Linked DNA regions of Saccharomyces cerevisiae S288C. The protein of the gene in region 1 interacts with the protein of each later gene in a biochemical or structural test. Each region holds a gene or a part of one and is shown in the gene's direction. Other genes may lie near its edges. The genes, in order: GPP1 and CMK2.

Region 1 (17,497 bases):
AATATTATTGCCTTATTAAAAATGGAATCCCAACAATTATCTCAAAATTCACCAACTCTTCACATACATACCTGCGGTAGCAAGATAGGTACACTTTTTCTACGTTTCACGAAGGTAGCGATAGGTACCTCACTCATTGTAGGTGCGGGGGTAGCGATGGAGGTTTCTGTACCATTACCACCACAGCCACTATACTCACGTAGTGAAGTCCCTAGCGTGGAATTGTGTGGTATCGTTGCTATCTGTCGTTCGCCACCCTCGGTATATCCAACGTGCAGGCCAATATCACTCTCTAAGAAAATCGTATCAGGATTGGTACGGACAAACTCTTCATAGCCTACGTCGAAATCAAATTCTGCTAAAGCTGTGACTGTAGTTAAACCTAAAACCGCGATTATTGCTTGAAAAACTGTGGAGAAATTCATGATGGACGGTCACGTTCAGGGTCTGAGAAAACCACTCATTCCTATGTCCCATGTGGTTGGTTGCAATTTGCTGCTATATATACGACTTGGCTGTAGAGAGATCTACGTAGGATGTGTCCACTATCAAGGGGGGTTTACCAACGTTATCTTCTATTTTAAGTGCTCAAATGAAGGTTGCATTATATCCCTGGCAGTTTTCCCGGCAATTTTGCCGGCCGCTTATAATAGTCATGGTGAAAGGATTGTTGCTTGTTGTGGTTGCAACATGACAGTTGCCTACTAACTAAATAATAATCAAAGTCAGTTTCTCAACAATGGAAAACCTGTTGTGACCTTATCGAAGTAACAACATCGTATAATAATTAATCTGGAAAAAATACCATAGTTACTGCCGATACAGGTCTACGTGACTTACTGACAAACAGACTGAGTGACTACGAGTCCAGAAATTTAGTATACCATATTGTCGCTTCTTCTTATAGCCCAGCTCCAGGTCTGGATACGGTTCTGTATAACTCGTTAAGGTTTAAGTGTCCGGCAATTTTTTTGAAGTTTCATTTCTTCACTCGATGACCAAGCCGTGTGCCATCTTTTCGTTTTCTTTTTTTTCAATGTGTTTAATTATCTACAAAGAGGGCACACACAATAGAGCTGATGAGAACCCATGAGCGAAACAAGTAGAAAAGCAAGACGTAAACGGAATCATGGTGGTGTGTACATTTCTCTTTTTTTATTACACCAAGAAAGCTTAATTGGTACGTATTGTTCGTGATAGTAGCATGAATCTAGCGTGGAATTCTTTTATTTAAGGTCGCGTTGTGACGACAAAACATTAAAAAAACCACATGTGTTGATTTGTAGACTTGTATACACTCCAGTAAGAAGGTGCACACCAAAATACATGCGCATATAAATTATTTTATATAGCATGCTATATTTCGTAAATTCATAAAATTTCGTTAATTCATAAAAACAGCTCCCCAAACTTAGATGAGTGGCTGCAAGGGTTCTGTCTTGTAATCAACATCTACCATTGCGCCATCGTGTTTACATACAACTTCGACAGACACCTTGAATTTCTTGGCGTTCAACTCCGTTTCTTCGCCATAATTCCAAACAATCCGGTCAAAGGATTCCTGCTTTTTCTTATCGTGGAATTTCAATTCTGGCTTGTTGATAGCGGTTTTGATGTCCTTTAGCAGGTGCTTCTCAACATGCTGGTGTAAATGGCGAACAAACTTCTTAGAGTGCGAATTGGCAGTCTCTTTGATCTTTTCCGGATCATCATGCGCATCATGCAGGACAAAGGGTGGATAGTACTTCAGTTGGCAATGGACATGGTCGAACTCTTGATCTTCCGTCTCACCCTTTAAATATGTTTCAAAATCATGCAAATCCTCAAAAACCTTTAAGGACTCACCACTTTTTGTAGTGATGGTGGACATCTTAGGACCCTTTGCTTTCTTATCCTTTTTCGTCATTCTTATTATTTAAAATACTTTGTTATATACTGTACGTTGTTTCGTTTGCACTTAATCGTGTTTCGACAGATAGGTGAATCAAGATCTACCTTTACGCGAAAGATACGAAGAATTGAGAAGGAGGTGCAAGGGAAAAGGGCAATAGAGGATTGGGACAGCCGATGCTTATATACGGACGATTGCCAACCGCCGAAAAGGTTCAAGCCAAGAACAAAAAGTAGAGAGAATACCCCAACAATAGCATTTGATGGCTAAACGGCAGTGCCCGTTAATACTATTCAAATTATACCCCGCATTAATAATTCCTGTCCCTTTAGTCTCGTCCTTCAGCCGTATAGCCGCAAAACTTCGTTCAATGATTTCATGCCATCATTACACCGCGAGTCGTGGGTGCATTGTAGTTTATTACGAAAAGTATCTACAATACTTGCTTAAATAACCTACATTGTTTTAGGCACTATGGCCGAGTGGTTAAGGCGACAGACTTGAAATCTGTTGGGCTCTGCCCGCGCTGGTTCAAATCCTGCTGGTGTCGTTATTTTTTTATTTTTATTTTTTTTTTATCGCTTACTGATTATCAGATATCTTCGACAGCCTCACACAGATTGGTGATCACGCACCCATAATCATTTCTTCGGGCATGCTCCTATTAGCCACGGTTCGCAGAATAATCTGCGCGATGTTATTCACCAAGACCGTGGAGTCTCCTTTTCGGTGGGATCCGCTTATATCCGTATGCGTCGGTTGCTTTCTCGGGGAAAGGAAAAGGAGAAAGCCCGGATAACACGACACAAGAGTCATTCGTTATGCACGGACACAGGGAATCGTGCGGAGCCGGGGATAAGAGGCCGTGCTAATTTCCGCGGAACATCGGAATGCAGTGGACAAGTGCCCTGAGAACAAGCGGCGGGCGGGTAGCTGCCACGGAATAGGCGCCACGTTTCCGTGGGTGACTATGACTTTTGATCGATTCCATGTTGTTTTGCCCTGAATTCTGCGCCCCTCGGAGAAGTTTCTTTTCTTTTTTATCTCTTTTTCATCTCTGACCTTCGTTTCCTTTCATATAGACTACGCAGCAGAATCATGGCAGGAGCTATTAGCTGAGTGGGCAGATTACGTTTGCGCACTGTGCATTGTGACAGATTATATTTGCTTCGCTTCTCCCTCTTACTTCTTCAGCATAAGTGTAAGCCATATGTTCCCTGAAATCTTTCTACCGTCGTCTTCTCTTTTTTTTTTTTTTACTATAAATCAATGTGCTCTCTTCCATGATTCTTGCCTTTTGGATCTTCGGTACTTGTGTGGGTGAGAATGGTGTTATTGAGTCAATTCAGGTCAGCTTGGTTCAGTTCTAATCTAGCCCTTTCCCTACTATACAAATACTACTAGCCTTTTTTTTTCTCTCTCTTTCTCTATACCACTACCTCTTCCTCTTCCTTTTTTTTCTCTTCTTTTTCTATTGTCCCCATCGCATCTTAGCATAAACGCATCCGCATTCCCTTCCTACATTTTTCTTTTCTACTAGTTATAGCTTTAAAACCTTCTTTATTCTCTTTCTACCTATTCTTCTTCGTTGCTTATATCCTATACACATATGAACGGTCCTCCAACATTCACTCAATATAGAATAAATAAGTTTTCTGGGAATGGAGCAACTCATAAGATTAGAGAATTACTCAATTTTAATGATGAAAAGAAATGGAAACAGTTTTCGAGCAGAAGGCTGGAGCTGATAGACAAATTCCAACTAAGTCAATATAAGGCAAGCGAACAAGATCAAAACATAAAGCAGATTGCTACAATATTAAGAACGGAGTTTGGATACCCTGTAAGCTGCTCTAAGGAATTCGAAAAGTTAGTCACTGCTGCTGTGCAATCAGTGAGAAGGAATAGAAAACGATCAAAAAAACGCTACGCTCTCAGCATAGCCAATGGCAGTGGCGGCAATGTCAACAACAGCATCTCGTCAAATTCTACTTCTGACGACGAGATCTCTCCGTCGATCTACCAGCGCTCCAATTCGGACTTCCTGCCTAGTTCTAATTATGCTGCAGATTTCCAGTTTTCAAACAAGTTCCAGCCTCTCATGAGTCACCAGAGTCATAACGGAACCATTTTTCCAACCGTGGGCACCCAAAATGACTCATCTCCATCGGTTACTTCGACCCAACAAAAGTATAACGATATAGTCACCATGCTAGTGCACGATCTTGTTACGAATGTCGTACCCCTATCAGAACAAGCTCTCAAGGACCCATATACTGGGCCAAACCTGTCACATTTTGCTACGTCTTCACTCAGCCAGCAACCTAACATTACCACAAACATCCCGATAGATTCTACCGTGCCATTTTTCCTGAGGGAAAAGTTACTCCTACAAATCCAAAGATCAAGAACTTGTCAGGACATTTCGCAGGCTGCAGGATCCATTGATATATACGCAAATCTGGAGATTTTGGGTGAAATGTCAATCCGAATGTCTATTGCATTCGTTATCGAACGATTTTTCTCCAACTTGGTCTCTTCTTCAATGAAGTATATCACTGCCAAGACGTGCTCTCCTGAAAATCTGGCTTTGTTGTCTCAAAGACTGTTCGGTGCCGCTACAAGACATAACTTATCTCATTTCCCCGCGGCTCAGGTACAACTAAGGCTACTGTATTTGGTCATAGGTGGTATTGTCAAGGATTTTGGCTTCGACCCCACGCTTTACCCTTTAAGTGAAATCATACATCATATTGTGATGGTTCAGTATCCTTTGGCTAGTTCCTGTGCGTCAGAACCACCATCATCTTCACCTAACAAGAGGGTTAAGAGAAGCCCTCCTGTCGTTTCAAGTGACGTTATGTTGAATAATAATAACACTCTATCGAATAGAGCTACACTTTTAACTACGCTACCAATGAAGCCTCAATCGGCCAATAAAGATGTTAATCGCAGAGTGATCATTAGATTTAATGATCGCGAGCAAGCCTTTACTTTCCACCAGTTGAGCAATGGACCACCCACGGTGTCTGAAGTTTTGGAAAACTGTAAAAATTTATTTAATATTATCAACAAGAACAAGAATTTTGGTATTTTCCATAACGATAACCTCTTGAACGATGAAAGTTTGGCAAAGTTATTTGATTCCTTTTCCACGAGCGAGATTCATCTCGTAATTAAGGACATTTCCACCATTCCACTACAAGATGCAAAAATACCAGTGCCCATTACGTTGCCCAAAATGTCATGCATAGGTGAAAACCCCTCTATGCCTTCTATTCCATTGGTACCACAAGAAAAAGATGATCCAAAAAAATCAAGCTTAACTGCCTTTGATAACATCCTTAATAGGATCTCTAAATCGCCAATGAATGAAGAAAATAGCAACACTACTTTAAACACTGGCACCTCCACCTCCAACACAAATAATAATGACCACAACGAGTCTGTGCCAGCGCCATACGTTACAAAGAACAAAAATTCTTTTCAAAATGGCAATTTACCACAGCCGGTTTTCCAGCCTTTACTTTGATAAAAATACAAAACAAAATTGTCTACATACATAACTGCCTAATACACATTCTACACAATATTTTTTTCTTTTTCAATTCGCGTACATATTTATGTAAGATAAAATAATAATATCCTCTTAATCCATGCTTAGAACTGCTGCCGTTGATTTTCAAATTCATCCTCGTCAAATGGTGGCAGTTCCATTACATGAATTTTGTACCCCAGTGAATATTCCTGGTCTTGTAAGGATTCGAACGTCAAATCAGACAGCTCTTTATCGTGGAACCCAACAATGGCATTATACACAATTGTGCTAACTTTAAAGTATTTCGCCTTGCTATCACCTTCGGAGTCAGAGACGTTTCCACTTTGTGCAAAAGTAGTTGGCAAATTTCTATTAAACTCCTCTAATTCATCTTCCGGTAATTCAAACCTCAGTAGAGTTGCTTCTTCATGATCTTCATAAACCCCTACATAGAATTCCCTTGTATTATTGATAGATGTTCGAGGTCCGCCATTTGTGTATGTGCTATTATTTGCACTCCCGTTGGTGTTCTCATTTTCTGATATCTTTAGAGCGTCCATAGATTCATTGAGTAAAGATGCTTCGTTTTGTTGCTGTAGAAACTGTCTTTCCTGTAGTCTTAATAGCTTGGGGCATTTCAGTTTTATAAAATCTTTTAGAACTGTCCATCTTAGCCTTCCAAATTTTTCCAATTGTCCTTTCTCTTTAATTTCAATAACTGTGAACTTCTCTTGGTTCATTAACTCATTGAAATCAGACTCTGATAATTTCTCCAAGAATTCTATAGGTATATAGGGTGGGAAATTTATGATCTTCAGCTGCCACATACCTCTATTCGTCATTTGTTTTCTAAAGCTTTTCTCGTTAAAGATATGCTTTAATCTTTTGTGATTTATTTGAGTTTGTGAAGGTGTAATTGTTCCACCATTCTTTGCTTGGAGGGCACGGTCATCACCATTCGTACTTGTAGTGGGAATATTACCATTATTATTGGAATTTGAGGCCATGTTCAAGTTGTAAAGGGCAGATATTTCGTTATAAGAGGGATTTATCTTATTGTTCCTTAAGGAGAGGTGATGCTGCTGAGAAAGACGAGGGCCTGTGCCAGTATCTGGATTCCTGGGGCTATTATGCATGTATTTTTGAAACTGGCTTTGGTTCTGGTGATAGAAATGCCGACGACGGGGATAGTGTGTAGGGGAAGCAAGTGGACCACCAGCAGTAGCAGCAGCTGTTGGTGAAGGTAGAGTAGTTTGATAGGGCATCTGCATATTAGGTACCGTTCCCGGAGGAGCACCCAACATAGGTAGCATCGAAGTCGAAAATGGACCATGAGGCGGGGGAGCAAGAGGTGGCACACCAACAGGTACGGGAACAGGCGTGGGCAATGGCGTTATGTTCTCATTCTTTCGAAGGCTCACTTCAGGAGAAAAACTGAAAAATTGAGAAGGTGGGGTAGAAGCGGATGGTGGCTGCGGTGTCACAGATGAAACATGGCTTGCATATCGAGGAGAAATAGATCTTTTAGTTTCATCGGGAGCACTCCGGACGTCATTGTTGCTATCACTGATTTCTGGATATCGCAGTGAAGGAGAATCATTAGTGTACGGCAACAGGTAAACGAACAGATCATGATAATCCCATTGGTAGGTGTTCAAAGTAAGTAGTAAGTTTTCCAGGGACTCGTTATCTATCGAGTTCTTCAGAATGACAATGCAACTCTGAAAAGTAATAAAAGGAGGAACCATGGAAGTCATTGGAGGCAGCATTTTCACCTGTAAAATATTGGTATGGTATATGATTCCGCCTATCAAATATTTTACCTGGGCCCAAGTCTTGCCCGGAGGGAGATTATCAATCCTTATGGGAATACCATTTGACTGCGAGTACGTCTTTTTCCTAGGAGCAGCTTTTGTGCTTGCTGTTGAGCTTTCGGTCGCAGAACGGGCAACAAAGGCACTGGCTGAAGCAGCCGACTTGGCACTATAGTGTGGTTCTAGAGTCATTATAAAGCAAGCGTATTGTAAGGAGAGACAGCAAACTCTCGTGTATCAGCCAACTGAACTGGAGGCCAAGACCAATCTAAAAAAAAAAAAAAATGAAAGAAACAAGTGTGGGAGGAAGTCTTGTTAACTTAACAGTTAAGCAAGCGTAAAAACCTTTAGGAAAGCGCACGAAAGAAGGCCAACATTACGACTATGGAATAATACAATGCACACAAACAAAAGGTAACATTTGAAAAATGGAGTAGAGAATATATTCCATTCCCCTAATTTTTTGCGGGTCTTCCAGGGCTGCGAACCCATCGCTCAAAACAAGCGCAGTGTCAATTAAGACATCATTGAACTAAAACGGAAAATTTGCTTGCGCCACACACCCTGGTCAATCGTACCAAGGGATATCACTCTGTACGGGTGGGAGGAAGGCGCGGCAATTAGAATGTGTGGGTGCGGAAGCTCGCCGCTCCCATCAAGAGAGTGGAAGACGTATGGTCTGGGTGCGAAGTACCACCACGTTTCTTTTTCATCTCTTAAGTGGGATTCTTACGAAACACGTCACAGGGTCAAAAGAAAGAGAACAAAAGCAATATTGTAATTGTCTCAGTCCACGGCAATGACATGGCATGGCCCCGAAGGCTTTTTTTGTCTGTCTTCCTTGGGTCTTACCCCGCCACGCGTTAATAGTGAGACAAGCAGGAAATCCGTATCATTTTCTCGCATACACGAACCCGCGTGCGCCTGGTAAATTGCAGGATTCTCATTGTCCGGTTTTCTTTATGGGAATAATCATCATCACCATTATCACTGTTACTCTTGCGATCATCATCATTAACATAATTTTTTTAACGCTGTTTGATGATGGTATGTGCTTTTATTGTTCCTTACTCACCTTTTCCTTTGTGTCTTTTAATTTTGACCATTTTGACCATTTTGACCTTTGATGATGTGTGAGTTCCTCTTTTCTTTTTTTCTTTTCTTTTTTCCTTTTTTTTTCTTTTCTTACTCTGTTAATCACTTTCTTTCCTTTTTGTTCATATTGTCGTCTTGTTCATTTTCGTTCAATTGATAATGTATATAAATCTTTCGTAAGTATCTCTTGATTGCCATTTTTTTCTTTCCAAGTTTCCTTGTTATGAAACGTTTCAATGTTTTAAAATATATCAGAACAACAAAAGCAAATATACAAACCATCGCAATGCCTTTGACCACAAAACCTTTATCTTTGAAAATCAACGCCGCTCTATTCGATGTTGACGGTACCATCATCATCTCTCAACCAGCCATTGCTGCTTTCTGGAGAGATTTCGGTAAAGACAAGCCTTACTTCGATGCCGAACACGTTATTCACATCTCTCACGGTTGGAGAACTTACGATGCCATTGCCAAGTTCGCTCCAGACTTTGCTGATGAAGAATACGTTAACAAGCTAGAAGGTGAAATCCCAGAAAAGTACGGTGAACACTCCATCGAAGTTCCAGGTGCTGTCAAGTTGTGTAATGCTTTGAACGCCTTGCCAAAGGAAAAATGGGCTGTCGCCACCTCTGGTACCCGTGACATGGCCAAGAAATGGTTCGACATTTTGAAGATCAAGAGACCAGAATACTTCATCACCGCCAATGATGTCAAGCAAGGTAAGCCTCACCCAGAACCATACTTAAAGGGTAGAAACGGTTTGGGTTTCCCAATTAATGAACAAGACCCATCCAAATCTAAGGTTGTTGTCTTTGAAGACGCACCAGCTGGTATTGCTGCTGGTAAGGCTGCTGGCTGTAAAATCGTTGGTATTGCTACCACTTTCGATTTGGACTTCTTGAAGGAAAAGGGTTGTGACATCATTGTCAAGAACCACGAATCTATCAGAGTCGGTGAATACAACGCTGAAACCGATGAAGTCGAATTGATCTTTGATGACTACTTATACGCTAAGGATGACTTGTTGAAATGGTAATTTTCTTTTATTTTTTTGATAAAACTACTACGCTAAAAATAAAATAAAAATGTATGATTTCCCTCCATTTCCGACCAATTGTATAATTTTATATCTGCATGACTTAATAATATAATATAATACTTATAAAATACGAATAGAAAAATTTAAACCGATGTAATGCATCCTTTTCTTTGTCGTCTTCGGATGATCTGCCGTGACAGGTGGTTCGCGCAAATCAAGCTGGTTTAGAGAATTTAACACAGAAATAAAAAAGGAAGATTCAATCTTCGTTTTTGTTTTATATCTTACTATAAAAGTGTTTTTTTTTAGTACGACGAGAAGTTAGAGTAATTATAAAAGGAATGCTTATTTAAATTTATTTCTTAGACTTCTTTTCAGACTTCTTAGCAGCCTCAGTTTGTTCCTTAACGACCTTCTTAACAATCTTTTGTTCTTCAATCAAGAAAGCTCTGACGATTCTTTCCTTGACACAGTTGGCACATCTGGAACCACCGTAAGCTCTGGAAACAGTCTTGTGGGTCTTGGAGACAGTAGCGTATTGTCTTGGTCTCAAAGTGGAAATACCTTGTAGAGCACTACCACAGTCACCACACTTTGGTCTAGTAGCCAACTTCTTAACGTGTTGGGCACGCAAGATACCACCTGGGGTCTTAACAACCTTGATTTTGTTAGAACGGGTGTTGTCTGTACGTAGTAAAGAGAAAATTTTCCCATTAATGTTAGTAATCACTTCTTTATTATCCTATGATTTAAGAACTTGAGTGGGATTGCTCCATATGAAAAGTATTTCGGCGTTGCTGAATGAATATTATCTCATTTCAATCTTTCAACAGCGGAGAAAAATTCATTTTCCATTTGGGTCGACCAAGGTCTTCCACTTAGAAACTGAAGTCAACTTATTGCTGTCCACATTACTGGATACTGTTCGTTCATGCTGTCTAATGTTTTAATGTCATGCCAATATATTTGAAAGTTCTTGCATAGTTGATTCCCCTATCGATGATCTGGTTCTTCCTATTTCTAAGTGGTACGCTTCTCTAAATAGCACTCGTTCGCCTTTTAACCTCATTTTCCCACAATGAAAGTTCAAAATAAGTTCATAATAAGTTCATAATAAGTTTTCATGAAAACTCAAAAAAATAGTTCAGTAACATACATGGATTTCTTCTTCTGAAAGTAACACGTTGAGCCATTTTTAGGGTTGTTCGTTGCTAATCTATTCTCAGTTTCAATCAAAGTAAATTGAATCAAAAGAATATAACAAGTGCCAAATACTATGTACTACCCGTTATTTACTACTTACAACTAATAAGTTCATCAACTTTTACGTAGAATGCTATTGAAACATTCCAAACTTACCCACCAGCTGCGATGAAACGGCTCCTGAGAGCCCGTTACCATACCGTCTGAACGGGTGCTGGGGCCACTGACAGGAAGAGGAAGAGTTAGAATTGTTACTGGCTCCTCCCCCAGGCGTCAATTCCATCTCCTCCCAGAAGGACGGTCTCTCTGCCCAAAGGAATGAACTTTCATGGGAAGGGACAAATGAAGCGGACTATTGTCGGAAGCGGGACCTCCGAAAGCAAATGAAAGTAAAAATTCAAAAATTCAAAAAAAAAAAAGCTGAAAGGAAAACACCCAAACAACACACGGTATGTGACGACATCTGTACACCGCAAAGTTGTGACGAAAACACAGTCACAGTTTTTTAGAATTTATGATTAGAGTGTTCAAGAAAATAAGTTCCAACACGTAATAGGTTTCTACCCCTGTCTTGTAACATTGATACAAGTAGAGGGAAACTCCCCTCACATTTTCTACAACGGCAAGAAACTGATTCTGAAACTCCGTAAATTCGTTTCTTTTCTTAGTTAAAATCTTATATACGCTAAAGAATGCTACTAAAATGTTTATAAATGTACACTCCTCGGTATCGCAAGTGGAAAAAAGGCAGTAAAGAAGTTTCAATCCTTCAATTCTTTTCAACAGCGATAACTTCCATTTCTAAATCAACATTCAAAGGTAAGGAAGCAACACCAACACAGGATCTTGCAGGCTTATGGGTGTGGAAGTGTTTGGCGTATACAGAGTTGAATTCGGCAAAGTTTTTCATGTCAGCCAAGAATACGTTGACTTTGACTATATTGTCTAAAGAAGAATTACTTTCTGCTAAGATATTCTTAACGTTTTGAAAAACTTGTTCGGCCTTCTCAGAGATAGAACCTTGAACAGGCTTGTTATCTGGAGTATAAGGGATTTGACCAGACACGTACACAAAATTGTTGGCCTTCATAGCTTGGGAGTAAGAGGCGGCAGCGGGTGGGGCCAACTTGGTGCTGACCGGGGTCAATGTTGTTATACCCCTCCTCAAGACTGGAGCTGTTCTCAAAACGGAATTTCTTAAAAACATTATTGGTAATATATTTGTGTGTATGTGTTGTCCTTTTTACCTGTAAATCTCACACAATTTACTAGCTAACCTAATTCTTATGCATGTGTAAGACCCATTTAGTCATATGTATTTATATATATCAGGGGATCCATACGGTGTGTTTTTCGCTGGATGAGCGACAGAGGCGGAATCGCATCTCCGCAAATGAGAGCGTACACAGGAGCAAAGTGAATAACGTCCTTCAATGATAGAGACTTATCCAATAAGCAGCACTGGTCTTCTAAGATCACCGCCTGTGCACTTTTCTACGGGCTCTTTTAATTGTATAACATGGACAGTGATCATTGCATTTTGCATCCATAGGCATACTATGGCTTAAGGTATTACTATCTATCGCGCCTAATCTCTGGGAGTTTTGAGGCCGGTTTCGGAATCTCGGTATCTTGCGATGGGTCCAAAACGGTGTAAACAAAGCAGGGGATAGCAGCGCAGGCTTCAACATCTCAAACCTTTATATATACAAAAAGTATATCTATATATTCATCTACGGTTCTTAAAATAGTACAACAAAAGTTAACAGACATTAATTACTGTAATCAGACTAAAGCAAACCGAGCTAGAACGAACGACTGCTTACACTAGAGAAAAATATGGAGCTAAGTTCACCATCAAAAAAAACCACAACATCGCCAATAAATATACCAGGGGGGAATAGAGATAACCTAATAATCGGACCACATTCTCACAGCTTCAAGACCGATCCATTTTCAAGTAACAATAGTAGTTTGCTGTCCAAAATATCTACTAACCCCAGTTTGGAAAGCCCTTTCTCTTCGAAATCTTTACTAGATTGTTCTCCTGTACAAGCTGTAAAGAAGTCTTTAGAGTCGGAAGCAAAAACGCATAGCCTGGACGAGGAGACAAATGAACAGACTGATGTAAAGATCTTAAACATAGCAGACTTTCCCACAGATGAACTCATACTAATGATAAGTGCGCTACTCAACAGAATTATAACAGCAAACGATGAAACTACAGATGTCTCACAACAAGTGTCGGATGAGACCGAAGACGAACTCTTAACTCCAATCCTTGCTTTCTATGGAAAGAATGTTCCAGAGATAGCTGTTGTTCAGTACTTAGAGAGAATTCAAAAGTACTGTCCCACCACAAATGATATTTTTCTTTCTCTCCTTGTATATTTCGATAGAATCTCCAAAAATTATGGGCATTCTTCTGAGCGTAATGGTTGCGCAAAGCAATTATTCGTCATGGACTCCGGGAACATTCATAGATTGCTCATAACAGGTGTCACAATTTGCACGAAGTTCTTGAGTGATTTTTTTTACAGTAACTCTCGATACGCCAAGGTTGGAGGTATTTCTTTGCAAGAGTTAAACCATTTAGAATTACAATTCCTGATACTATGTGATTTCAAGTTATTGGTTTCAGTCGAAGAAATGCAGAAATATGCAAACTTGTTATATAAATTCTGGAACGACCAGTAGAATGCTGTCCTGCATATTATTCATGCCCTTCCCTTACCGTTACTCGTATTATACATATCAATTTCTGATTTACGTAACGCGTACATATCGGTTATATTTAAATAATTTAATATTCCTTTTAAATCAGTGGTTTTTCATATTAGTAGCATTTCTCCTGAAATGATAGCTATTGCAATAGAATGAAAAAAAAAACTTTTTGCCCAAATAAATCATAATCTACCGGTAAAGAGAAATTCGGTCCTTGTTCTATTCAGTATTATGCTTTCTCTTTTTTTTCCAAAATGAGAATTAAGGACGTTTCGAAAAAGTAAAAATATACCAAATGTGGAATATAAATAGGTTTATCGGCGGACCGATCTGGCTTAAAACGTAGAATCTACCAGTCCAATGTACTTTGATGAAGAACAATTGCTAAAATATACTATATATGCCTATAGATTATCCTTTTTTGTAGGCATTTGCTCACTTTTCATAGCAAAAAGTTGTCTACCAGAATTTCTTCAATATGGTAAAACCTACCGGCCCAAAGAGAATTCAAAGTACTCAAGCATTTTAGAACGAATCAAGAAGTTCACAGTTCCAAAGGCGTATTTTTCCCATTTTTACTATTTGGCTACCTTTCTATCCTTAGTCACCTTATATTTCTATCCTAAATTCCCCATCGTTTGGATCATATTTGGACACTCATTGCGCCGACTTTATGAAACGCTTTATGTACTACATTATACAAGCAATTCTAGGATGAATTGGTCCCATTATCTAGTCGGTATATGGTTCTATTCCGTACTCTTGTTAATTCTTAATATATCACTGTACAAGAACTCCATTCCAAATACGTTAAACATGAATGCTTTCATCATATTCTGCATAGCATCTTGGGATCAGTACAAAAATCATGTTATTCTGGCCAATCTGGTTAAATATTCGCTGCCAACAGGAAGGCTTTTCAGGTTGGTATGCTGTCCTCATTATCTCGATGAAATAATCATTTATTCTACTCTGTTGCCCTATGAACAAGAATTTTACCTAACACTAGTTTGGGTAATCACAAGTTTGACTATATCCGCATTGGAAACAAAAAATTATTACAGGCACAAATTTAAAGACAATCACGTAGCCCCCTACGCCATAATACCTTTTATAATCTAGTAATGTGCACACTAGGGCATTCATATACATATATATATAGACGCGGTAAAGAACCACTTTACTTTCACTATTATCACTTTACCACTAATTAGACAGCAAAGGCTCGTATACGTGTCATTAAAAACGAAGGTAAGGCCATACCTTTTTGAGGCAGTTGGAAAGAGTAAATACTGGCACAGTGGCTAAGACCTATCACTGCCAAACAAAAGGTTAGACATCTTGGGAATTTCGGACACATTCGTTACTTAAAACGAGGACCAAAATTACTCAATACCTATTTTTTATTTAATATTTTAGGCATTGTTTCACCTGAATTTGCTGCTATTAGAAGCCTGATCTACGCAATAAAAGATTTCATCTGGATTTTTGAAGCTTATACAGTACTCAACAATCAGCTTATTAACAGCAATATACCGTTAAGCAATTGAGAAAAAGTAACAATCAGAGCACTTGTGTGGCATAACGTTAATCTGAAAAAGAAAGGGGTATCAGTGTGCACGGAAAACTTCAGAGACAAATGCCTAACCCTCCTTCATTTAAGTCACATAAGCAGAATTTATTCAACTCCAACAATAATCAACACGCAAACAGTGTAGATTCTTTTGACTTACATCTCGACGATTCATTTGACGCTGCTTTAGACAGTTTACAAATTAATAATAACCCAGAACCACTTAGTAAGCATAACACTGTTGGAGATAGGGAAAGTTTTGAAATGAGAACAGTAGATGATTTAGACAATTTTTCTAACCATTCTTCGGATTCGCATCGTAAGTCTTCAAACACAGATACCCATCCTTTGATGTATGATAATCGCCTCTCGCAGGATGATAATTTCAAATTTACTAATATTGCTTCGTCACCACCGTCGTCTTCAAACAATATTTTTTCAAAAGCCCTCTCATATTTAAAAGTATCTAACACAAAAAACTGGTCCAAGTTTGGTTCACCCATAGAACTCAGTGATCAACACATCGAAAGAGAAATACATCCAGACACGACTCCTGTGTACGATAGGAATAGATACGTTTCGAATGAACTATCTAATGCCAAATATAATGCCGTTACTTTTGTGCCAACCCTATTATATGAACAGTTCAAATTCTTTTACAATTTATACTTTTTAGTAGTTGCATTATCGCAGGCCGTTCCTGCACTAAGAATAGGGTATTTATCATCGTATATTGTACCTTTAGCATTTGTGCTGACAGTAACCATGGCAAAGGAAGCTATAGATGATATTCAGAGAAGGAGACGTGATAGAGAGTCAAACAATGAACTGTATCATGTAATAACGAGAAATCGTTCCATACCAAGCAAAGACTTAAAAGTTGGAGATCTCATAAAAGTCCATAAAGGTGATCGTATTCCCGCTGATTTGGTTCTTTTACAATCAAGTGAACCATCAGGCGAGTCATTTATCAAAACTGACCAACTAGATGGGGAGACTGACTGGAAACTACGTGTTGCCTGTCCCTTGACCCAAAATCTATCTGAAAATGACTTAATTAACAGAATTAGTATAACAGCCTCTGCTCCTGAGAAATCTATTCATAAATTTTTAGGTAAAGTTACCTATAAGGATTCCACTTCAAACCCTTTGTCTGTAGATAATACTCTATGGGCGAATACTGTTCTAGCTTCCAGTGGATTTTGTATTGCTTGTGTCGTCTACACTGGCAGAGATACTAGGCAAGCTATGAATACAACTACAGCTAAGGTTAAAACTGGCTTATTAGAGCTAGAAATTAACAGTATTTCCAAGATTCTTTGTGCATGTGTTTTTGCCCTGTCAATTCTTTTAGTTGCATTTGCCGGTTTCCACAATGACGACTGGTACATTGACATTTTGAGGTATCTGATATTGTTTTCTACCATCATCCCTGTCTCTTTAAGAGTTAATTTAGATTTAGCCAAAAGTGTTTATGCACATCAGATCGAACACGATAAAACCATTCCTGAAACAATTGTTAGAACGAGTACAATTCCAGAGGATTTAGGCCGTATTGAATACCTTCTAAGCGACAAAACAGGGACGCTTACTCAGAATGATATGCAATTGAAGAAAATACACTTGGGTACTGTATCATACACGTCGGAAACATTAGACATTGTATCCGACTATGTACAATCTCTGGTGAGCTCTAAAAATGACTCTTTGAACAATTCTAAAGTTGCCTTATCAACAACAAGAAAGGATATGTCTTTTCGTGTACGTGATATGATTTTAACTCTAGCAATTTGCCATAACGTTACTCCCACTTTTGAGGATGACGAACTTACATATCAAGCGGCATCACCTGATGAAATTGCTATTGTTAAATTTACCGAGTCGGTTGGCTTATCTCTTTTCAAAAGAGATCGCCATTCAATTTCTTTATTACACGAACATTCTGGTAAGACTTTAAATTACGAAATTTTACAAGTATTCCCATTTAATTCTGATTCTAAGCGTATGGGTATCATTGTTCGTGATGAGCAATTGGATGAATATTGGTTTATGCAAAAAGGGGCCGATACTGTCATGTCAAAAATTGTGGAAAGCAATGATTGGCTAGAGGAAGAAACAGGTAATATGGCTCGTGAAGGTCTACGTACTTTGGTTATCGGTCGTAAAAAATTAAACAAGAAAATTTACGAGCAATTTCAAAAAGAATACAACGATGCCTCTTTGTCAATGCTAAATCGTGATCAACAGATGAGTCAAGTTATCACCAAGTATTTAGAGCATGATCTTGAATTATTGGGTCTAACTGGTGTAGAAGATAAGTTACAGAAGGATGTGAAGTCCTCTATCGAGTTATTAAGAAACGCAGGTATCAAGATTTGGATGCTGACAGGTGATAAAGTTGAAACTGCTCGTTGTGTTTCCATAAGTGCAAAATTAATATCTCGTGGCCAATATGTTCATACGATAACAAAAGTCACAAGACCGGAAGGTGCATTCAATCAGCTGGAGTATCTAAAAATCAATAGAAATGCTTGTCTTTTAATAGATGGTGAATCCCTGGGAATGTTTTTGAAACATTACGAACAGGAATTTTTTGATGTCGTGGTTCATTTACCCA
Region 2 (12,731 bases), on another chromosome or scaffold:
CGAAGTAGATCTACTTCCCACAAGAACAACTTCCCCTGATATAAGGATAGTGCCTACTCAAAATATAGACACATTAGCAATGAGAACAAGGTCAACCTCTACACCATCTCCTACGTGGTATACGTTCCCATTACATAAAACTGGTGATAATTCTGTTGGGTCAAGCCGATCAGCCTACGAATTTTTGATCACAAATTCAGATGAGAAAGAAAATGGTATTCCTGTCAAATTAACAATAGAAAATCACGAAGTAAATTCTCTGCATGGAGACGGGGGCGAGCAAATTGCCAAGAAAATTGTCATACCAGATAAATTTATCCAGCATATCTAGATTGCATGTTTTATATTATACATAGTTTTTTTTAAAGAAAAAAACTACTGGATGAAAAACACACACACACACACATATATATATATTATACATCAGCGGAAATTACTCGATATCTAGAAATGCGTACACATGCTACATCGATCAGCTACGTCTGACCGAATACTTTTCAATAGTAAAAAAGGGGGCGAGCTGGGAATTGAACCCAGGGCCTCTCGCATGCTTTGTCCCCCTGTTAATCAGGAAGTCGCCCAAAGCGAGAATCATACCACTAGACCACACGCCCGATCTTTTCTGAGAACCATGAAAAGACTCAGAATTTATAATACACATCATGGCCTTCCAAAGCAACTCAGCCTATGTTGAAATGTAATTCTAGTACCATCCACTTATTATTGGTATTCATGTTACTAGTATATTATCACATACGGCATAGGAAGGTGACATAATGATTAAGGAACAGCTATCACATATAAAGGAAGCAGAAATCCTAAGGTTGATAATGCAATAGGATAATAAATGATAACATATAAAATGGAAGAAGAAGTAAACATTATCATAATATGTAGATATATCGACTCTCCTTTTGTGAATTCCTATATACTCAAGAAGAACTTCCAGCATATTTTGTATATTTAATATTATAACCTGTAACAACGATGAAATTCCAACAATTATCTCAAAATCACTCATATTTCAATTAGAGGGATAGTAATAGAAGAAGAAATCTGGTCCAAAATTCTTTTAATACTTGGATAAGTAAGTTATTCACGTAACAAAGGCTACACATTTACTATTCTTTCATGTAGAAATGCAATAAGCCATCTACGGTTCGTGGTGGAAAAATACAATAAAAAAAGAATCACCCGTAAAAAAAAGCTATGGGGGCATTGAATTGATATTCATCAATTACAAGTAAAACACTCCAATTTTTTGTCACGCTTATTAGAATATTAGCCTATACGGTGCTAAATGTGACATAGATTCCAACTCTCATCGAATTCAGTCGGAACAGGCGTGCAAATAACGTACTAGGACTAACAAGCGATAATACAGGAAGGCATGAGGAAATAATTGCAGACATAAGTAAAATCATTTCGTTATTATGAAGTCTATATTGTCGAAAAGCTTCTAATCTCTATACATAATTCTCCTAGGTCATTTAGAAACCAACAACGAGAAAAAAAATAATTGTAAAAACATAAATTTTGGACTGATTATGCCCTTGAATAAATTAATAATTAATGGCTGCTTCAGAATGTATTCATACACATATGCAACTTTATCTAAGTGCTCAAATATTAATGAGCTTTTCTCATAGTATAATGCAGATAAAAAATAATACTAATAGAAAGTACTGTAACATATTCGTTGGCTTCAGTGAAAGCGCATCGGACAGAGCATAATTCCTGGCATATGTTCTACCACAATTCCAATAATCGATGGGCGAACTTTTATTTTCTGCCACGTTAATTGAAGAGGAATAGCCGCAATCCAGGACACCATGCCAAGTAGATGTTGGCATATCAGCTGAGAATGTGGTTCCTGGAACCTTTTTAGTCAACGTTGCAAAAGCTGATTCATATGCTCTACCGCATGCCCAGTAGGCTTGTGCGTCTTCTGTTTCGTATCCAGACATGGCCGTATACATCACTCCCATGTTACCACAAAAAAAATGATGTGGTCGCATTTGGTGATAATGAAGTAGAAAATGTGGTTGTGGGGGAAGTTGTTGAATCAGACATTCTCACGTTACTTTACTTTTTTTGTTAAACTGAAATCTTTAAATAATCAAAGAGTTCAACGTTCGAGTAACTCTTTTTTGTTCTACTTTTAAGTAGCTTCACTTTTCTGAACAATTGAAATAGTTGAACAATTGACCACGCTACAACGGAATTTTGATAAAATAGCAAATGATGTTTTAATATATATAACTATTTATTATTTATGGTGGCTAAAAAATTTTCAGGTTTTCAGGCGACCTCTTCAGTATCCATTATATGCCGCGACAAACCCTTTTTCCAAAAACGGTCATCGATGTTTATTCCGAGTAGGCTCAGTTGCCTGCGCCCGGACCCTTCTTAAGGGGAAGTTCTCGAAACTTTATGTAATTTTAAGTTTAACATAAACTGTATAAGCCGCTGTAACACTGTACCAAGATAGGCGTTTTAATTACGGCCTAGATTGTTTAATATTTTGCTTAGAAATAATAGGGCACAAAAAAACATTCGAGGCTTAAAGTAGTGTCACATAAAAATGTGTCTTCTGGTACTTATTAGAAAAGGCTTCCCAAAAAAAGCACAAAAGAATTTAGTATTGAATGTTCATGCCCCTTGTCGGAATAAAAACGGAAAAAAGGGAGAGTAAACTAGTCTGTTGTAGCAGTAGGCAGTGATGATTATTCCTGGAAAAAATCAAAGATTCTGTCTTACACAACTTATTCAGTACAGTTTCGCTAAGTAAGGAAAGAAACTTTACAAGGGTAAAGTAGGTAAAGTTCTAAACTATATGTCAAGGGTGTCCCAAAATAAAAACTAACAGTACTTAATGAATAGAGTTCCTGGGATTGTGCTGATCCCAGTTTTCTTTGGCAGCTCTGAGCGCTTCTGCAACTCTATGTAGGCAATTTTTAAATCGGTTGACTTTTTCTCTAGATTTGTTCGGTAAAATGAGGTGTTCTTGTGATAAATTTTCTCTTTTGTTGTCACTTACGTCAACGCTCAGCCTAGGACATGATGTCTTAACCTTAATAGTTCTTCTCGACAATATATTTTTGAAATGTTCGTAATTTCTGAAGAAACTATTTTGTTTTTCAACACATACAGAACTTCTCCTCATGACAACACTTCTTACACTTTGATCTCTACTAAAGGTAGAATTTGGTGAAGCTAGATGGACTGGATAATATGGTGATGATTCCGATATTATTTTCAAATTAGGGGTCAAAATTCTGGACCACGTTGAAGGTTCCCCATACGGATCAGGAGCTGGGTTTGAGCAGACCCAATTTGCTGTTCTTCTCGAGATTGTCTTTGCAATAGCAGGAGTTATACGTTGCATTTCGGCTATCGCTTGATTAGTAGTGTCTTTTAAGGCACTTTCGTCGCTGGAAATTACTGTTGCATGTGTCAATTCGATTGAGAAGGGGTTACTATCTCTTGTGGCCTTTTGTTCCGGAAACGTAAGCAGTTTATTGCCTGAATCAGTAGAGACAGTTCTACCGATTTTTTCAAACTTCCTCTGTGTGGTGCTTTGTTCATTGCGAAAATTTGATCGGTATAAGCGATGTGTACGGTTTAAAGTAAGTTCTTGAAGGGTAGGATTGTTGCTTTCATTAATTTTTTCTAAAGAAAAATTACTTCTCAACAAATATTCAGTTTTTGCTGACGTTGTAAGTGGGAATTCGACGGAGAATGTTTTATCATCGCAAACGTTCTCACTTGTGCATGAACTTTTTGTTGTTTTTGATGTAGTGGCGTTCTTTCCCTTTTTATTCAATATCTTTTTCGATATATAGTGTAAATTTTTGGTGTCACTGTCTAGAGAAAGGAAAGTCTTTCTTGGTGTCTTTTCCCAATTTACAGATACTCTATAATTTACTGTCGTAACCGCAAAAGAATCCACTGAATCTAATTTTGACCATCTTATTGTTCGTTTGAAGGAAAAGCATAAAAATTTGCCGGTAAATTTTCCAATTTTCATACCGTCACCATGAAAAACTGCTCTTTTATCGTCAATAAAAACATTTGGAACATTAACGTTAGTTCTCAAATACAGAATTGCCTCGCCGGTTTTTTCATCCTTTACGCTCTTATATATGAGATCGTGGAAATGCTTGACAAACAAATTATTTAAATTTGCATGAGGTTCTGCAAATAGCAACATGTTGTTTTTAATCCTTCCAAGAACTTTTTTCATTAGTGCAAAATAGGGAGTGAAGACAGCATGGAAAGCGCTTTTTAACGTTTCATTCGTAAAGTTCAAACTGTTCACGGAACATTTTCCAGGCCAGTGGAATCGTACCCAATAAACAGTTGGACATAGAACTAGGACTGGCATACACTCTTCCATTTGGAGAATGGATATTAGTATAATGTAAATATAATTGATTTCATCTGGATGTCTCTCAAAGTCAGCAACGCTGATTCGTTGGATGTATTTGTTTGAACCTGCCAACAGCCTGAAGTACTCTAATTTTTGTTTGTATGTAGCGAAATTAGTAAATTTAGCCAATCTTAGCATGCCTCTAGAAAATGATATATTGATGCTTTCGAAGCCTGGTAATCTAGAGTATTCAATGAACATGATTGAAAAAGCACTAGGCCAGGTGATTATACCGCAGACTTACGGTAATATAAGGGCAAGAGAACTAAAAAAATCAATAATGTAGGCTTATATTACAGTTCTTTGTGAGATATTCCTTTCTAGAGCGTTTTCTGTGTCCACTCAATTAATATATACACTTCCCGTATCCTAACATTTACTGACACAATGATAGGCACAACGCGCGAAGGAGCGGTGGGGCTTTGAACAATAAGGACCCTTACATAGAAAAGGCGTTAGAACAACAATATGGTTAGGCCATAGAAACCTCGGTGTCTTTTAGGAACTTCACAGAATAGAACATACTGCAGTAGATATAAATACACCACTGGGGCAATGCAGCCTGGTTTTTTCCAAATATACAAAACACTTCATGATACTTACTAATGGTCGTTGATACAGTACTCATTGTATCATTGCAGGAGAGTTAGGTTGGCTTTTTTGCATTTATTTATTTATTCATTTACTCAATTGACAGGCAATGTCAATGATTTTTTGGAAGAAATTTGCCTAATGTTTTTACTCAGTTACTCACCGCTCCCTGGATAACATAAGGTTCATTTGCTTCCGTACTGATTTTTTTTGGCAGTCTATAAGCCACTATGTACTTCCCAATGCTCCTGCAGGCATATTCTTTTTCAATTTTCATGTTTTTACTTCCAGTCGTTGAGCATCATATGGATTCTATGTTGATGAGGCTTTTCAGAACGTGCTGTACTTTCGGAGAAGCGCCCGCTTTAACGCAGCGCGAAGAGAATAATTGAGGCTTATCTTAGAACCCTGCCCCCTTTGAAGCCACCCATTGCTGTTTCTCTTGGTAATCCTAATAATATAAAACAATACGATATTGTTCAAGATCAGCAGAACTTCAATTCGTTGATCAATCTTTTCGTCACCTTTTCTTCTATCACATCGCCAATATAAATATAGACACCAAAAATGCCCAAGGAGTCAGAGGTCATAAATTCTGAATTTCATGTAGATGTCCAAGATCCAGAGCGTCTAAACGGCCACCCTGTAGCAAAATTTATCAATAAATTAAGCGGTCAACCTGAATCTTACGTCAACAGGACTAATTATATTTTCGGTCGAACACTGGGTGCCGGTTCCTTCGGTGTTGTGAGACAAGCCAGAAAGTTGTCCACAAATGAAGATGTTGCTATAAAGATCTTATTGAAGAAGGCATTGCAGGGAAACAATGTGCAATTACAGATGCTGTACGAAGAGCTGTCCATTCTTCAAAAATTGAGTCATCCGAACATTGTGTCATTCAAGGATTGGTTTGAATCGAAGGATAAGTTCTATATTGTCACTCAGCTGGCAACAGGAGGTGAATTATTTGATAGAATTCTGTCTAGAGGGAAGTTCACAGAAGTGGATGCTGTTGAAATCATAGTTCAGATTCTTGGTGCCGTGGAGTATATGCATTCCAAGAATGTTGTTCATAGGGATTTGAAACCTGAGAACGTTTTGTATGTTGATAAGTCAGAAAATTCGCCTCTGGTAATTGCGGACTTCGGTATAGCTAAACAATTGAAGGGGGAGGAGGATTTGATATACAAAGCAGCCGGATCGTTGGGTTATGTGGCACCAGAAGTCCTCACACAAGATGGACATGGTAAGCCTTGTGATATATGGTCCATTGGTGTGATCACATATACTTTACTGTGCGGTTATTCTCCTTTTATTGCCGAAAGCGTTGAAGGATTCATGGAGGAATGTACAGCTTCGAGATACCCGGTAACCTTCCATATGCCATATTGGGATAACATATCTATTGATGTTAAGCGTTTCATCTTGAAGGCATTGAGATTGAATCCAGCTGACAGACCAACTGCTACGGAATTGCTGGACGATCCATGGATTACTTCAAAGAGAGTTGAAACTAGTAATATTTTACCAGACGTTAAGAAAGGGTTTTCTTTGCGTAAGAAATTACGTGACGCTATTGAAATTGTGAAGCTTAATAATAGAATTAAGAGGTTAAGAAATATGTATTCATTAGGGGACGATGGCGATAACGATATAGAAGAGAATTCCCTCAATGAAAGTCTTCTGGACGGCGTCACACATTCGTTGGATGATTTACGTCTGCAATCTCAGAAGAAAGGGGGAGAACTAACAGAAGAGCAAATGAAATTGAAGTCTGCATTAACAAAGGATGCCTTTGTTCAAATTGTCAAAGCTGCAACAAAGAATAAACATAAAGTTTTGGCTGGTGAAGAGGAAGACGATAGCAAGAAAACACTGCATGATGATCGGGAGTCGAAGTCAGAAGACTAAATTACGGACTTGAATTCGTGTACATAAATTCGTATATAATATTTAATGTGTAAAGCTAGTGACGATTTTATGTAACCAGCAGCTACACTTCATGGCATTCAAACTATAGACCTTTTCTGGCATTACGCCTCAAGCTTCTTTTTTCCCGAGAATTATCTTGTAGTTGCCTAACGGGTTCTGAGAAGATCTCTATATCATCACAATTCCTATCACAATCTTTAGCGCCATTGTGTAATTCTCTTTTCCCAAAAGATTTATCTGTCCTATCTTCACCTTTTCTTGTCAATGTATTCTCCTCACTCAGATATTCTGAATCATAGTCATCGCTAACGTCAATGTCAACTTCATTTTCACTTTCCTCGGAAACGTCACCATTTACATCACTCGAGTAATGCACCGTGGTTCTTCTCTGAGAGCTTGTTCGCAAATGACGTCCTTCAGTACTGCCTGTAGGGGCAGCAGTTATGCGCTGAATAGTCTCATTTATGAATATACTGAAAATTTTCAAAAACTCAATTAGATTGTCTATACCCTTTTTTGTATCATCGGTGTCATTTTCAGTAAGTGATGATAAACTTTCCAAATACTCAATGAAGTTGCTCAAAGAATTCGAGTCTCCTGCAACTTCAAACCAATGCGGCACCTCGGCAAAGTGAACATCATTGAACTGTAAATTACGGATACATGCAGGAGTGTTCCTATATATAAGTTTAAGTTGACACTTGTTTTCATTTTGTGCGGTTTTTGCAGGCAGTATTTTTGTACCCTCCTCTTTGAATTTTACGAAGTAATTAAGATAAGTTGACATGTCATTGAAACTGTAACTAGTGTTTACTGAACTGCATTCGTTGCCAATCCAGAATGGTGGTAAGTAGAAATCTCCAACTCGTGGAATTCTCGCTATCATAAACTCTGATGTCCTTAACTTGTAAATTTCGTCTACGGTGGGATCATCAATTGGTGTGTGTGTAAATTCGTTTGCAAAATATTCACCCCATTCTTCATTTATTTTAACTGCAGCTCGTAATCTGTCTGTAGTTACTTTTTCGCTCAATGATTTCCGAACACCCTTTAGAAATTTCATCTGACTATTGATCTTACTCAGTTTTCCTTTGTCGCTGGGCTTCCTTTTCTTTCGATTTTCCAACTTTTGACTCATCAAAGAGCATAAAACTTCACAACTATCTAATATGTTATTGGCCCCGCACATAGCAAACCTGCTGGCGTGAAAAGTTTGATGGTTGAACCCTGTATCGCCTTTCAAGTGAGTGAGCCTTTGAATTTCATTATGGAAAAGTGCGGAGTAGCTACAATTCCAATCGATCATGCATCTCAATAATATTATTCTATCTAATGGTTCCATCGTCAACAAACCACCTCCATTAAAATTTAGAGTAGATAAAATATCACTATTACCACGCCATTCTTTTGGTAAGCCCCACTCCTGGATTAAGCTTCTGAGTTTGCCAACCAGTTTTCCATATGGATTTTTCAAACTAAGAAATCTTTTTAGCGTGAAATTTCTATGAGTTTGGTTGTCTGCTCTTTTCTCGGAGCAGAATAATAACCTCAAAAGACTGCAAAATAGTAGATTCATTTTATCCTGACAAATTCGAATATTCTTCGCAGAATGGCCAGCCACCTTTAATTCTAGTCCTATCTCCACATCTTGAAATGACAGGTTCAGTAGATCGTCGCTGAACACCCATTTAAATTTGACGATAAAAGAAAGGATCTTCATAACATCGCCTGCATATGGGAGAGGGGTGCAAAGGGGAGGCGCCCAATTGCTTTCCGTTACCGTCTCATCACTCATAAACTTTGCAAAGTCAGAATATCGTAAAGGAATATTTGGTGACCAGTTTAATGTATTCAATGGTCTATTATTAGAAGTAGTGTGTTCACTGATCGACTCTACCTTGTTAGTGTCGTTCGAATGTGTTTTGATATTAGAATATTTGCTTGCCATATTTGCCTCCATTTCTTTAGTTTTCATTTCTTCATCACAGGTACCTTCATATTTCTCCCGCTTTTTAGTATTTTGGGTAGCAGCATCCAGTGATTCGTCAATTGAACTATTGTGAGAAAGTACAACAGGTTCTTCTACAATTTTGATGTTTCTGAAATCATCAAAGGTCAACTGACCCCTTCTTTTTACCCTAGGCTTTGAAGACTGGTTTTTCTGTTGTTTGACCATAGGTTTCTTGATAAAGTCATCGACCAAGTCTAAATCAATAATTTCTGTCATTATTGTACCTCAAATTTCTTGTTCCTTATTTTCTTGTTTGATGTCTAAAAAAAAGAGATATCCTGGTAATGAGCAGGCCGTTTCTTCAGCTCATACAATCGAAAGCTTAAGAGTTAGTCGTTGATATGGTATTCTCTAATACCGAAAATAACTTAGTACATATAAACGCGTAAAGTTCACGCGTTTATATCACCCTACCATATGACATTCTAACCCTACTAATTTTTTATCAAAGCTAATAGGGTTGTATTTTATTATCTTTTACACCTACCTTTTTTTTTTGTATATGCCCTATAGATGAATTATAATTGTTGGACCGGTTTGTATTGGGCTTTTAAGGTGTAAAGTGAGTGCGTATAGATTATAGCAGAATAGACTATAAGTACGGCAAGACAGGAAAGTCTCCAATTGATGTACATTTTATCGCTTTGTGATCTAGGCAGTCGTTACAAACATGTTTAGAGATAGAACTAATTTATTTTTATCATACCGTAGGACTTTCCCTCATAACATAACTTTCTCATCTGGGAAAGCACCCTTGGGCGATGATCAAGATATTGAAATGGGTACATACCCGATGATGAATATGTCTCACGATATATCGGCCAGATTGACAGATGAACGAAAAAACAAGCATGAGAATCACAGTGATGCGTTACCACCCATATTTATTGATATAGCGCAGGATGTTGATGATTATCTTCTGGAGGTGAGACGGTTAAGTGAGCAGTTGGCGAAGGTTTATAGGAAGAATTCGTTACCTGGCTTTGAAGACAAGAGTCATGATGAGGCGCTGATTGAAGATCTAAGTTTCAAAGTAATTCAGATGCTGCAGAAATGTTACGCTGTTATGAAACGATTAAAGACCATATACAACTCTCAATTTGTGGATGGTAAGCAATTAAGTCGAGAAGAGCTGATTATACTAGATAATCTACAGAAGATCTATGCAGAAAAGATACAAACTGAAAGTAATAAGTTCAGAGTATTACAAAATAATTACTTGAAATTCTTGAACAAGGATGATTTGAAACCTATCCGCAATAAGGCCAGTGCAGAGAACACGCTATTATTAGATGATGAGGAAGAGGAGGCAGCAAGAGAGAAGAGAGAGGGCCTCGATATTGAAGACTATTCAAAAAGGACGTTGCAGAGACAGCAACAGCTTCATGACACTTCTGCAGAAGCATATTTGAGAGAACGTGACGAAGAAATTACTCAGTTGGCAAGGGGTGTATTAGAAGTGAGCACTATTTTCAGGGAAATGCAAGATTTGGTTGTTGACCAGGGGACTATTGTGGACAGGATTGATTATAATCTGGAAAATACAGTGGTAGAGCTAAAAAGTGCAGATAAAGAGTTGAATAAAGCAACACACTACCAGAAGAGAACTCAAAAATGTAAAGTCATTTTATTACTAACATTGTGCGTAATAGCGCTCTTTTTCTTTGTTATGTTGAAACCACATGGCGGTGGCAGTGGTGGTCGTAATAATGGTAGCAACAAGTACAACAATGATGATAATAAAACAGTTAATAACAGTCATGATGACGGCAGTAATACCCATATTAATGACGAAGAGAGCAACTTGCCGAGTATCGTTGAAGTAACAGAATCTGAGAATGATGCTTTGGATGACCTACTTTGATGACAAAACTTTCACGGTACCGCATCGCGATTTTGAACTATAATATGCTTTGAAGAAAATTGAGAGATTTAGTCAGCGTTCATATGACCTGTTGCTCGTTCTATTTGAGAAAAGTGAAAAGGTTAATATATGATTTCAATAAAGTATGTAGTATGATAATAAAATACAAATTTATATGGGATAAAATTGAACCGCAAGTAAAGACTGGCGAACGAATATTGTGCATAAGTAGTTCCTGAAGATGATAAAATATGGTTTAATACAAGTTGGTGGTTATTGTGATTTGTAGAATATAAAAAAAAAAAAAGAACCTTCATTTTTCTTTTTTTACCTAAATCCGTAAGGATTGTTCAGTGAAGTAGTAGCTCGGGGCAAGTTTTTGTTTTGCATTCTCCTCTTATAGGCAGGCTTATATCCTTGTGTTATCGGGCTTTGGTTTGGTAAAGGATTCGGAGCAAAACCGACGCCTGGTACCGGATTTCTGTGCTGTGGCACTTGGTTTGGGGCAACGTTGAAATAAGGATTGCTTTGTAAAATAACATTAGAAGGATCTGGACCAGCAGGAGTAGTTCTTTGATATAAATTGTATTGATGATATTGCTGCTGTGGTTGCTGTTGTTGTGGTTGTAGTCGTTGTTGGGGATACACTAATGGCGCCGGGTGTGGCTGACCAGCGTACGGCCTTATATTTGCAGGACCAGCGGCTGTTTCTCGAGGCATTTGATTGTATACTTCCGGATTGACACCTCTCTGTGATATTGAAGTCAACGTTGAATCTTTATCGTTGTAGGAGGACATGCTGTTGATGTGGCTATCGTTTGGTTCATTGAAGGAGGTCTCCATGATGTCGTTTAGTAGTCTCGAAGGATTTCTGTGCGGTATGACCTCTCTTTGAGAGTAGTCTGAGGACGCTAATGATGCACTGGATGATATTTCCGTTTTTCCTAGCGGAACTTTATAGTTTATATTGTTGCTGGTGTTACTACCATTGTTTCTCACATAATTATTAGAAACACTCCCATTTTTCAAGCCACTTTCACTTTCAATGACAGAATACGTTGAAGTTGACCTCCTTTTGTCATAGGCCATGCCATCGTCCTCTTCTTCATTAAGTCCGGAACCATTTGAATTTTCCATGTCCTTTGCTTCTTTATCGAAAGTAGAAATATCAGACGTGGTAGAAGTGGTTATGTTTGATAATTTCGGATCTTGATTGTGTGAAATAATATCTGGGACAACAGTGATATTAGTACCGTTCTTAAAATTGTCACCCAATAAATTCGTTCTTGAATCACCACGGAGGTTGGCCTCACTATCAGCGTCGATATCGAATCTCCCGGACTTCGAACTTAGATATGGGTCATTCAGCAGCATGCCCTTTTCTTCCAGTTCCTCGGTTTCGTCATCATCCCTTGAGCCTGAGCTTCTTGAATAAGCTGAGAATATCAAAGGAATTACTAGTAGAGATAAAGCAGCTCCTGGTATCAGGACCCATGAACACCAGGTTACATGTGGGTAAAACAGTAAAAATACCACGATACATATCAAAGAAGCAGAAAGAAAGCCTAGAGTGGAAAATGTCAAATTAACAAAAAACATGATGGCAGACGCACTACCAACTCTATCACTGGATAGCACGTTAATTAATAAAACGCTCATGATGGTACAAAGAAATCCCAAAAAATTAAGACCAGCAGCAATGGGTGTGATAAAGATGATTTTCCCCAATATAGACCTAGCGTTGCTATTGAGTTTCCAGTTGCTATCACTGTCTGATAGCTCATCGGGGTGATAATTATAACTTGCTTTTGAGCAGGAGCCCTCTTTACAGTAGCCGAATGTACCGTATGTGATCTCATCATATTTAGAATAGCCTATTTGTTTGAAAATTGGAGCCGTAA

The links.
Region 2: the proteins of GPP1 (region 1) and CMK2 form a complex in vitro, tested with the Saccharomyces cerevisiae proteins (one large-scale study listed by BioGRID).

Annotation. Positions count from the first base shown.
Region 1 is NC_001141.2:246,491-263,987, forward strand, and holds GPP1 (glycerol-1-phosphatase GPP1), read left to right. Parts: upstream 1-8,624; coding exon 8,625-9,377; downstream 9,378-17,497. Other genes in the region: YIL060W (uncharacterized protein), read left to right, coding at 1-336; YIL059C (uncharacterized protein), read right to left, coding at 60-425; RGI2 (Rgi2p), read right to left, coding at 1,412-1,906; VHR1 (Vhr1p), read left to right, coding at 3,501-5,423; YIL055C (uncharacterized protein), read right to left, coding at 5,552-7,435; YIL054W (uncharacterized protein), read left to right, coding at 8,053-8,370; 60S ribosomal protein eL34 RPL34B, read right to left, coding at 9,736-10,064, 10,537-10,573; isoleucine biosynthesis protein MMF1, read right to left, coding at 11,353-11,790; PCL7 (Pcl7p), read left to right, coding at 12,423-13,280; DFG10 (putative polyprenol reductase), read left to right, coding at 13,668-14,429; and 1 more. UniProt on the Saccharomyces cerevisiae protein: Major isoform of glycerol-1-phosphate phosphohydrolase involved in glycerol biosynthesis. Plays a role in osmoadaptation and required for adaptation to anaerobic conditions.
Region 2 is NC_001147.6:288,980-301,710, reverse strand, and holds CMK2 (calmodulin-dependent protein kinase CMK2), read left to right. Parts: upstream 1-5,590; coding exon 5,591-6,934; downstream 6,935-12,731. Other genes in the region: E3 ubiquitin-protein ligase HRD1, read left to right, coding at 1-331; YOL014W (uncharacterized protein), read right to left, coding at 1,644-2,018; IRC10 (Irc10p), read right to left, coding at 2,873-4,633; ESC8 (Esc8p), read right to left, coding at 7,038-9,182; t-SNARE syntaxin TLG2, read left to right, coding at 9,637-10,830; TOS7 (Tos7p), read right to left, coding at 11,158-12,731.